2 linked regions of the Tribolium castaneum genome follow. The main gene of each other region encodes a partner of the protein of the gene in region 2 in a complex. Links are inferred from orthologs where the notes say so. Each region holds a gene or a part of one and is shown on either strand. Other genes may lie near its edges.

What was found. Proteins that work in one complex are often made in the same cells at the same time.
Region 1: the proteins of Rph (region 2) and synaptosomal-associated protein 25 are in contact, whole or in part, in a crystal structure (PDB 5LOW), measured with the Rattus norvegicus proteins. The link is inferred for Tribolium castaneum from reciprocal best matches to the Homo sapiens genes RPH3A and SNAP25. Residues at the interface, in NP_598202.2 of Rattus norvegicus: His617, Ser618, Ala621, Ile648, Ser649, Ala650, Lys651, Gly652, Leu655, Tyr659, Leu662, Lys663, Lys665; in NP_112253.1 of Rattus norvegicus: Glu38, Asp41, Ile44, Arg45, Leu47, Val48, Met49, Asp51, Glu52, Glu55.

The regions. Positions count from the first base shown.
Region 1 is NC_087396.1:11,301,265-11,305,330, reverse strand, and holds the start of synaptosomal-associated protein 25, read right to left. Parts: upstream 2,846-4,066; 5' UTR 2,688-2,845; intron 2,391-2,687; 5' UTR 2,388-2,390; coding exon of another isoform or gene 2,360-2,387; coding exon 2,298-2,359; intron 2,244-2,297; coding exon 2,202-2,243; intron 54-2,201; coding exon of another isoform or gene 5-53; intron 1-4. Other genes in the region: PheRS-m (probable phenylalanine--tRNA ligase, mitochondrial), read right to left, coding at 3,054-4,066.
Region 2 is NC_087401.1:13,292,568-13,296,771, forward strand, and holds the start of Rph (rabphilin-3A), read right to left. Parts: upstream 2,852-4,204; 5' UTR 2,744-2,851; coding exon 2,667-2,743; intron 1-2,666. UniProt on the Homo sapiens protein: Plays an essential role in docking and fusion steps of regulated exocytosis.

The sequences.
Region 1 (4,066 bases), on a different chromosome or scaffold from region 2:
TCACCTCCCTGGTCATCAAGAGCGACCAAGGTTCGGATTCCAGCCTCCTTGCTCTACAGCAGCACAAAACAAGTGTACACTGTTTGTTAGTATAGATGTTAAGTGGTACACGCCCGCTACAGATAAGCACTCAGTATATTATTTGTTCAGTTCGAAGAGATAGAGAAGAGATTTATAGAGAGGAAGTTAGAGAGCGAGTGGAATGGGTAGCCCGGCAAGCTGGAGGAGGATGTACGATAAGCTATGATAGAGGCGCGCGAGTCGCGACACATGAGGGTTTCAACAGGATCACCTTACTGTATAACCATAAAATAAAAAAATTAAATGAACACGCAAAACTTCTACAATTCATTTCTGTTGTACTGTCCAACAAAATTACACTTTTTCCGCTTCTTTAGGTTTTTTTAGGGTGCGAATGTAGGCGAATTTTTTTTTTATTTTTAATTTTAGAACAGGAAAGTGACCAACGAATTTAAGATCAATAGGCACCACATACTTTTCAGTTTTCTTCTAAAGAGAAACTGATTGTAGACATTTGACAATAGCCAAAAAGCCGAGTTTCTCAAAAACCAGTTCAAATCTTCAGTCATTTTCATTTCCACAAAAACGATAAAAAAATTATACAGAATGCGATAAGATGATACTAAAATAAGAAATAACAGAACTGGCATAGAAAAAAACGAAACTTGTTTATTTTCTCACATCTGAAGAACGTTTTTAAATAGTAATTTCAATTTTGCATTTTCAAAATTACATTTTTTTTTTTAAAGAACAAACAAATTATGATTTTTTTCAAGTAAACTAAGCTAGAAAATTAATGTATTACTACACCCTAATAAAGTTCATAGAAATTACCAACAACAGCATAAAGTATTTTCGATTTCAGGTCTGTTTAAACCGTAAAATTGTAACAATCAGCGCATACGAGCGATTTCTCCTAATTAATATTTGATTTTTTTTTTAATAATTTGGCGGAAGTAATTCTTAACGTATTAAAAATGCAAAATCTGAAATGGCTATTTTAAAGCATTCCAGAGAACTGAGAGCTGGATTAGTTCTTTCTAACCGGATTTTAACTACAGTTAAAATATTAAAGTTTTTACGTTATAAACGTTTACACAAGATTAACAATTCAATAGATGTTTTTTGCAATGATTTTTTTTCTCACTGAAACAAAAATAAACACTTAAAAACGGGTTTAATTAAACAAAATCTTAATGTAACTGCACGTGAATATAACAAAATGTTCCCATCACGGCTTCTCATGATTATGTTTGTTCTTCAATATCCATAATGAAACGGTTAAAGACTTCAGAATATTAGATATAAGCATAAAAAGTAATCTCCAAATCTTTACACGAAATATTAATAAAAACAGCCATATCCATAAAAAATAATTAAACATGAACGGATCTAACAAGTTTACTGACAGACAAAACAAAACACCAATAAGTAGTTACGAAAAGATGACTATCGGTTAGCAAGGTTGAATATTATGAATTATTACGAGAAAAACGCTATGAACACTAATTTGCATTACGATATAAATTTCGAAAAAACTACAAAGCCAGCAATAAAACAGAAACGAAGTGTAGAAGCCCTTTTCAGTTTAGTTGTTTTAATAGATCTCTGTATGATCATTTTTCTGGAGCCGGTGTTTGAGGTGGCGGTGGTCGGGAATCAAATATTCAACTGTAGTCTGCGAGTGTGTGTGTGCAAAAGTGCGTGTGGGTATTTCTCATATCTGTACACGTAATAACACAGCACAAACACAGGCACACTTGCAGGGCTACCGCTACCACAACATCGAGTCCATGTAAGCACACCGCAACCGTCCCCGAAACCCCGCCGCATTCTTCAGCAGAGCTCGCCCCACGGTAGTCCTGCTCTGCACCGGTTGAGTCGAATCAGAGGACAGAAAAGACAGTGCAAGACATGCAGCACAGAGATACACCAAAACAATTACCAAACAATTTACTCTTATCTCACTGATCAAACTATGCCATCATTGTATGGTAATTGCAACACTTAGAGCAAAGAAGGGATGAGTTTTACGAAAGTCAACTAAAAATAAACAAGATCCTGACACCCCAACTCGGTTCATTTATCACGAAATTACATTAGGGATAAGTCACCTAGAGAGAATTATTAAGATTATCGGTATGGATCTGGGTGGGTACAGCAAGGGGGCGGATATTTACCTCTTCACACAGTGCCAACATGCGCCGGGTGCTCTCCAGAGACTGCAAATGATTGAATATGTTAATCAGGTGGTGCATAATTACGCCAGGTGTTACCTCATCGGTGACTTGCCCAGCCCGGAGCTGGAGCTCCTGCAGCTCGGTTCGGGGGGCCCCATTTTCGGCGACTGGTGCAGGTGCCGGCATTTTCTACGATCAAGAATGACAGAACTGACAAAAACCAGACGACGCACAATCTTTTTTGCTTGGGACTGTACTCTACATTGTTTGACCCGAGAAAATCAATAATCGCGTTAAGGGAACCAAGACGGGCGCGTTCTCGAATTTTCAAAAATAGCCAAATTTGCGATATTTGCATCTCATGACATCATCTTTTTTGCAAAAATGAATCACCAAAGCATCCTATGACACCCGCTTCGAACAAGACACGGCGCCCGGACGGAAATGCCTGATGGTGCGTTACATGAGAGAAACGTTGCTACTTACGCTAGGCTGGGAGTAACACGCACTAGGGGGTTCCTAAACGATTCTTGGGCTAATTCAGCAGTAATAAACAACACTGGGAATTTTATTTCACATAACACCTTGACAGGACAACTGTCAAAGGGTTATCGCATTTGAATGACAACAGCCAACTGAGTGGAGCAGGAAGGGAGATGCGGAGGAACTTAGCGCTTCTGCACATGATCCAATACCACTATGGAGGGAAATACAAATTTCATAGTATTTCTCCCTCGTTTTTGGGTAAAATAAAAACCAACACTTGCCTAAAATGTAATCTTTATTTCGCAATATTTTACAATTATTTGAGCAACAATATGCTGCTTAATTAAATAGGGATTAACTGTGACATTATCTAATCTGGACTCCCAATGTGGAGGCTGCAACTTTGGCGATTTCGCTGTGAATTACATTGACATCGGCCTGGACCAGAGTTTTTTCCATATGCCGGTAGATAATGCGGTAACAGTGACTCGTTTTCCCAAGTTTTGGATGCGTGAATTCGTCCACTAAAACTACTTGTTCAATTGTATCACCTCCAATGTTTCTGGCCAAGTCGTAGAAATCATTACTCGAAAATTCCCTATCTTGTGGTAGCCAAAAACTGAGATCGTTGATACATTGTGGATATTGACTGATTTGTCTATAAGTAACGTCTTCGTCATATTTTACTTTAAACTGGTTTAAAAACCCAGTGTCTTTGGACCAGAAGAGCCGAATATCGGGTATTTTATACAAACACATTGCGACCCTTTCAAGCCCGATCCCGAACGCCCAGCCAATCCTGTCCACAATGCCAGAGTTGGTTAAAATGGGCTGTCTCATTATCCCACATCCCAGCAGTTCTAACCAGTTGTTCTCGTGAAACACCTCCAGCTCCCATGACGGTTGAGTGAACGGAAAATATGTATCAATCCACCTGTACTCAATTGTCTCCCCAAACAGCTCCTTGGCAAGGCCTGCCAGAGTCGTTTTCAGTTCGTGTTCCATCAACTTGACCGCTTCCAGAGTGTGACACGCCTGTTTCTGCTGGGTTCCGGTGCTCTGGGTGTTGTTGCCCACCTCAAAAATCTCCAAGCTTTGCTCTTTGGGGAACAACTCGTCTCGTGTCTTCAGACGAACTGCGTCCACCTGGTGGAAGACCGGGTAGTGCGTTCTGTCGATTTCGTCCCGTCTGTAGACGTCTCCAATCATTAGAAAGTTGTTCAAACCGGCCCTCATCAGCTCCGACTGGTGGGCCGTCATATGCGCCCGCAATAAATAGTCCCGGTTTAGGTAATAACAGTCGCTTTTCAAGCGGGACGGGTGGTCTTTGGGGGTCAGTAAGCTATCAAAGTTTTGGTCTACGGTTACCACCGGGGGCA
Region 2 (4,204 bases):
AAATATTTATCTTTTAGAGTGGAAAAATGTTGAACGTTTTTGCTGTTTCTTGAGTTAATTTTTGTAAAACTTAACAAAAAAAACAATTTTTCTAAAGATTGCACCAAAATAACTTATTTTCAGCTTAGATTTTAGTGTTTTTTTTCTGATAATTTTCAATAATTAACAACGTCATTTTCGATCTTTTTGACATTATTTTTTGGGTAGTTTTTCACGAAATTTTGCAAAACAATGGTAAAAATTAGTAAATTGGTGATATTTGGGTTTGTTTTTAGCAAAATCTTGCAAAATAATAATCACAATAAATTCTCTCTTAGTGGACATCTCCGAATAACGGACACCTCTTCACAACGGACATTTTTGTAGAAAAGTAACAAAACCTCTCTAAAACGGACAATTAAAAATTCCCTACCTGTGTCCGTTGTTGAGAGGTTTTACTATATGCATATTTTAACGAAAACCACTCCAAAATTATTATTTTAGAGCGAATTTCGCTAGGAATTTCGTGATTTTGTATCTATTTTAAATCTTAAACTTAGCTAAGTTAATAAAAATTAATTAAAAAAATTAATGATTTTGTTTCACTCACAGTGAGATGAAACTGACAAATATTTGTCCGTTTGTGGGCGGAATTTTAATTAGATAAAAGGAATAAAATTTGGTTTAGTGATTATTGGAGTTATTTTTGCTAAAACACGCGAAATAATAGTGTTTTTGTCTGAAAAAAATACCAAAAAAAAGTAATTTTTGCGGTTATTTTTGACAAAATCTCCGACAAAAATGAATTTTTAGCTAAAAAACTAACGAAAATACATGAAAAAGAACAGATAAGTGTCATTTTTAACCAAGTTTTGTAATTTTTGAGCTGATTTTAGACGAATTTTGTAAAATATTTACGTTTCAGAGTGGAAAAATGTTGGACATTTTTGGTGTTTTTGAGTTAATTTTTCTAAAACTTTACAAAAAAAAATTTTTTTTAAAGATATCACTAAAATAAGTTGTTATTTTCTGGTTAGATTTTAGTGTTTTTCCTGATAATTTTCAATAATGAACAATGCCTTTTTGGCATTATTTTTTGGGTAGTTTTTTACGAAGTTTTGCAAAACAATGATAAAAATTAGTAAATTGGTAATATTTGGGTTTGTTTTTAGCAAAATCTTGCAAAATAACAATCACAATAAATTCTCTCTTAGTGGACATCTCCGAATAACGGACACCTCTTCACAACGGACATTTTTGTAGGAAAGTAACAAAACCTATATTAAAATTTCTCACCTCCAATTAAAGGACACCTCTCTAAAACGGACAATTAAAAATTCCCTACCTGTGTCCGTTGTTGAGAAGTTTTACTATATGCATATTTTAACGAAAACCCCTCCAAAATTATTATTTTAGAGCGAATTTCGCTAGGAATTTCGTGATTTTGTATCTTTTTTAAATCTTAAACTTAGCTAAGTTAATAAAAATTAATTATAAAAATAATGATTTTGTTTCACTCACAGTGAGATGAAACTGACAAATATTTGTCAGTTTGTGGGCGGAATTTTAATTAGATAAAAGGAATAAAATTTGGTTTAGTGATTATTGGAGTTATTTTTGCTAAAATACGCGAAATAATAGTGTTTTTGTCTGAAAAAAATTTCTAAAAAAAGTAATTTTTGCGATTATTTTTGACAGAATCTCCGACAAAAGTGAATTTTTAGCTAAAAACCGAACGAAAATACATGAAAAAGAAAAGATAAGTGTCATTTTTAACCAAGTTTCGTAATTTTTGAGCTGATTTTAGACGAATTTTTTAAAATATTTATCTTTTAGAGTGGAAAAATGTTGAACGTTTTTGCTGTTTTTTGAGTTAATTTTTGTAAAACTTAACAAAAGAAACAATTTTTCTAAAGATTGCACCAAAATAACTTATTTTCAGCTTAGATTTTAGTGTTTTTTTTCTGATAATTTTCAATAATTAACAACGTCATTTTCGATCTTTTTGACATTATTTTTTGGGTAGTTTTTCACGAAATTTTGCAAAACAATGGTAAAAATTAGTAAATTGGTGATATTTGGGTTTGTTTTTAGCAAAATCTTGCAAAATAATAATCACAATAAATTCTCTCTTAGTGGACATCTCCGAATAACGGACACCTCTTCACAACGGACATTTTTGTAGAAAAGTAACAAAACCTCTCTAAAACGGACAATTAAAAATTCCCTACCTGTGTCCGTTGTTGAGAGGTTTTACTATATGCACATTTTAACGAAAACCCCTCCAAAATTATTATTTTAGAGCGAATTTCGCTAGGAATTTCGTGATTTTGTATCTTTTTTAAATCTTAAACTTAAGCTAAGTTAATAAAAATTAATTATAAAAATAATGATTTTGTTTCACTCACAGTGAGATGAAACTGACAAATATTTGTCAGTTTGTGGGCGAAATTTTAATTAGCTAAAAGGAATAAAACCGTGTTTTAATTATTTGCTCCGAAAAGTTGGCTTTTTAAAAAATATTTTGCCCAATTTTCGCAGTCATCAAAGAGCCCCGAGCTCTATTATCCTAGCTAGAAAAGTGGAAGCATTAAATCAATAAAACATCCGTCATCCTTTAACAATCCCCAATTACCATCACAACAAACACGAAAAAACAAACAATTCCCTCCGTTTAGTTTACTCACTTGGCTCGAAGCGCCAATTGCCGATCATTGGGACAAACAAATCTGTTGGTAGCATCGTTGGCTCCACAATCGACCATTGTTTACCATGGACAAAAAGGGTGAAATAAATCACGTTGGTCGTTGCTTGAGAGTGGCCGTCGACGTCCGTCGCGACGCCTGCCAACGCGACAACTGTTGATATCACAGCCTGTTGCTCGCGTCGCGACGGCCGGCGCGCGTGACGTCACATCCGATCGATAAATTATTTCGAATAGACACGCGTTCCGGACGTTTGTTTTCGTGATTTGTGGCGTCGCGACGCCGGGTCTTAATTATGAGCACCGAAAAATTGCAAAAATTTCAAACTTGATGACAAAAAATATAAAAAGGAAGGGACGGGAAATTGTTTTAGTTATTACGTTATTAACTTGATTGGGTTTAGGGTCGAAAGGTTGTTTAATGAAATACTCAGATTACATTCTGGTCATTATTGTTGTGGTTCAGATTAATTTTGGTTTAATTGAGGTTTGAAGAAATTCGATCATTTTCAAAAGATTGTTGCAAGAGATGTTCTTTATTAATTTAATCTACAATTAAATGCGTGATTAACTGATCACGTGACCAAATTGAACTAATTTGATTGGTTTAATCGCGTTGTTAAGTTTTAACAACTAATTAAAATTTAAAGAAACTTTCTATAAACCTGCCTTAACTTTATTAAATTAAGTAACAGTAATAATGTTTTTTTAAGATTTTAAACATCATTGAACTAAAAAACTTTTAGCAATTTTAATATAAATTTTGACTAAATAAATCGAAAAACAAACTTCAATTTGAAAAAAAAATCATCCTAAACGTTAGATCGTAAAAAACAGGTTAAACTGCTCTACGACGAGTGGTTTTTTTTTTCAAAATTTATTAAAAAAGTTGCATTAGTAGTAAATACAAATGTTAATTCTTACGTCACAACAAATTAAATAAAAAAATCAGACATGTTGGATTTAATCAAATAATTAATTAGAATATGTAAATAATAAAATAAAACAAAAAAACAGTGTTGAGTTTGAAAAAAAAATCAAAAATAATCCATAAATTTTTAAAAACATGTTAAATTGCTTCCAAAAATATTAATTAAAAAAGTATGATTTTTTCCTGTTAAGTTGTTATTTCTTTCACTTCAATTTATATAAAAAATCAGGTAAATCCTATATAATTTTAGATTAAATTTTAAAAAAGAAAGCAAAAGACTGTCTTGAATTAAAAGAAATAAACAAATTTTTGCATTTTTAAAGGTGAATTTTATCGTAAAAACAAGTTAAAATGCTCTAGGACGAGTAGTTTTCAACTAACTTTAATTTTGTTTGACGATTTTAGATTAAATTTTGTCAAAATAGAGCAACTGACAATTTTTTTTGAATTCTCGGGAGATCTGAAAAATTCTAAAAAAGAGTGAACAATAAATTGTAAAAACCTGATAAAATGTTCAACATTATAGTGAAAAACAGTTTAATATGCTCTATAACGTGCACTTAACTTTGTGCCATATTTTTTACGTTATT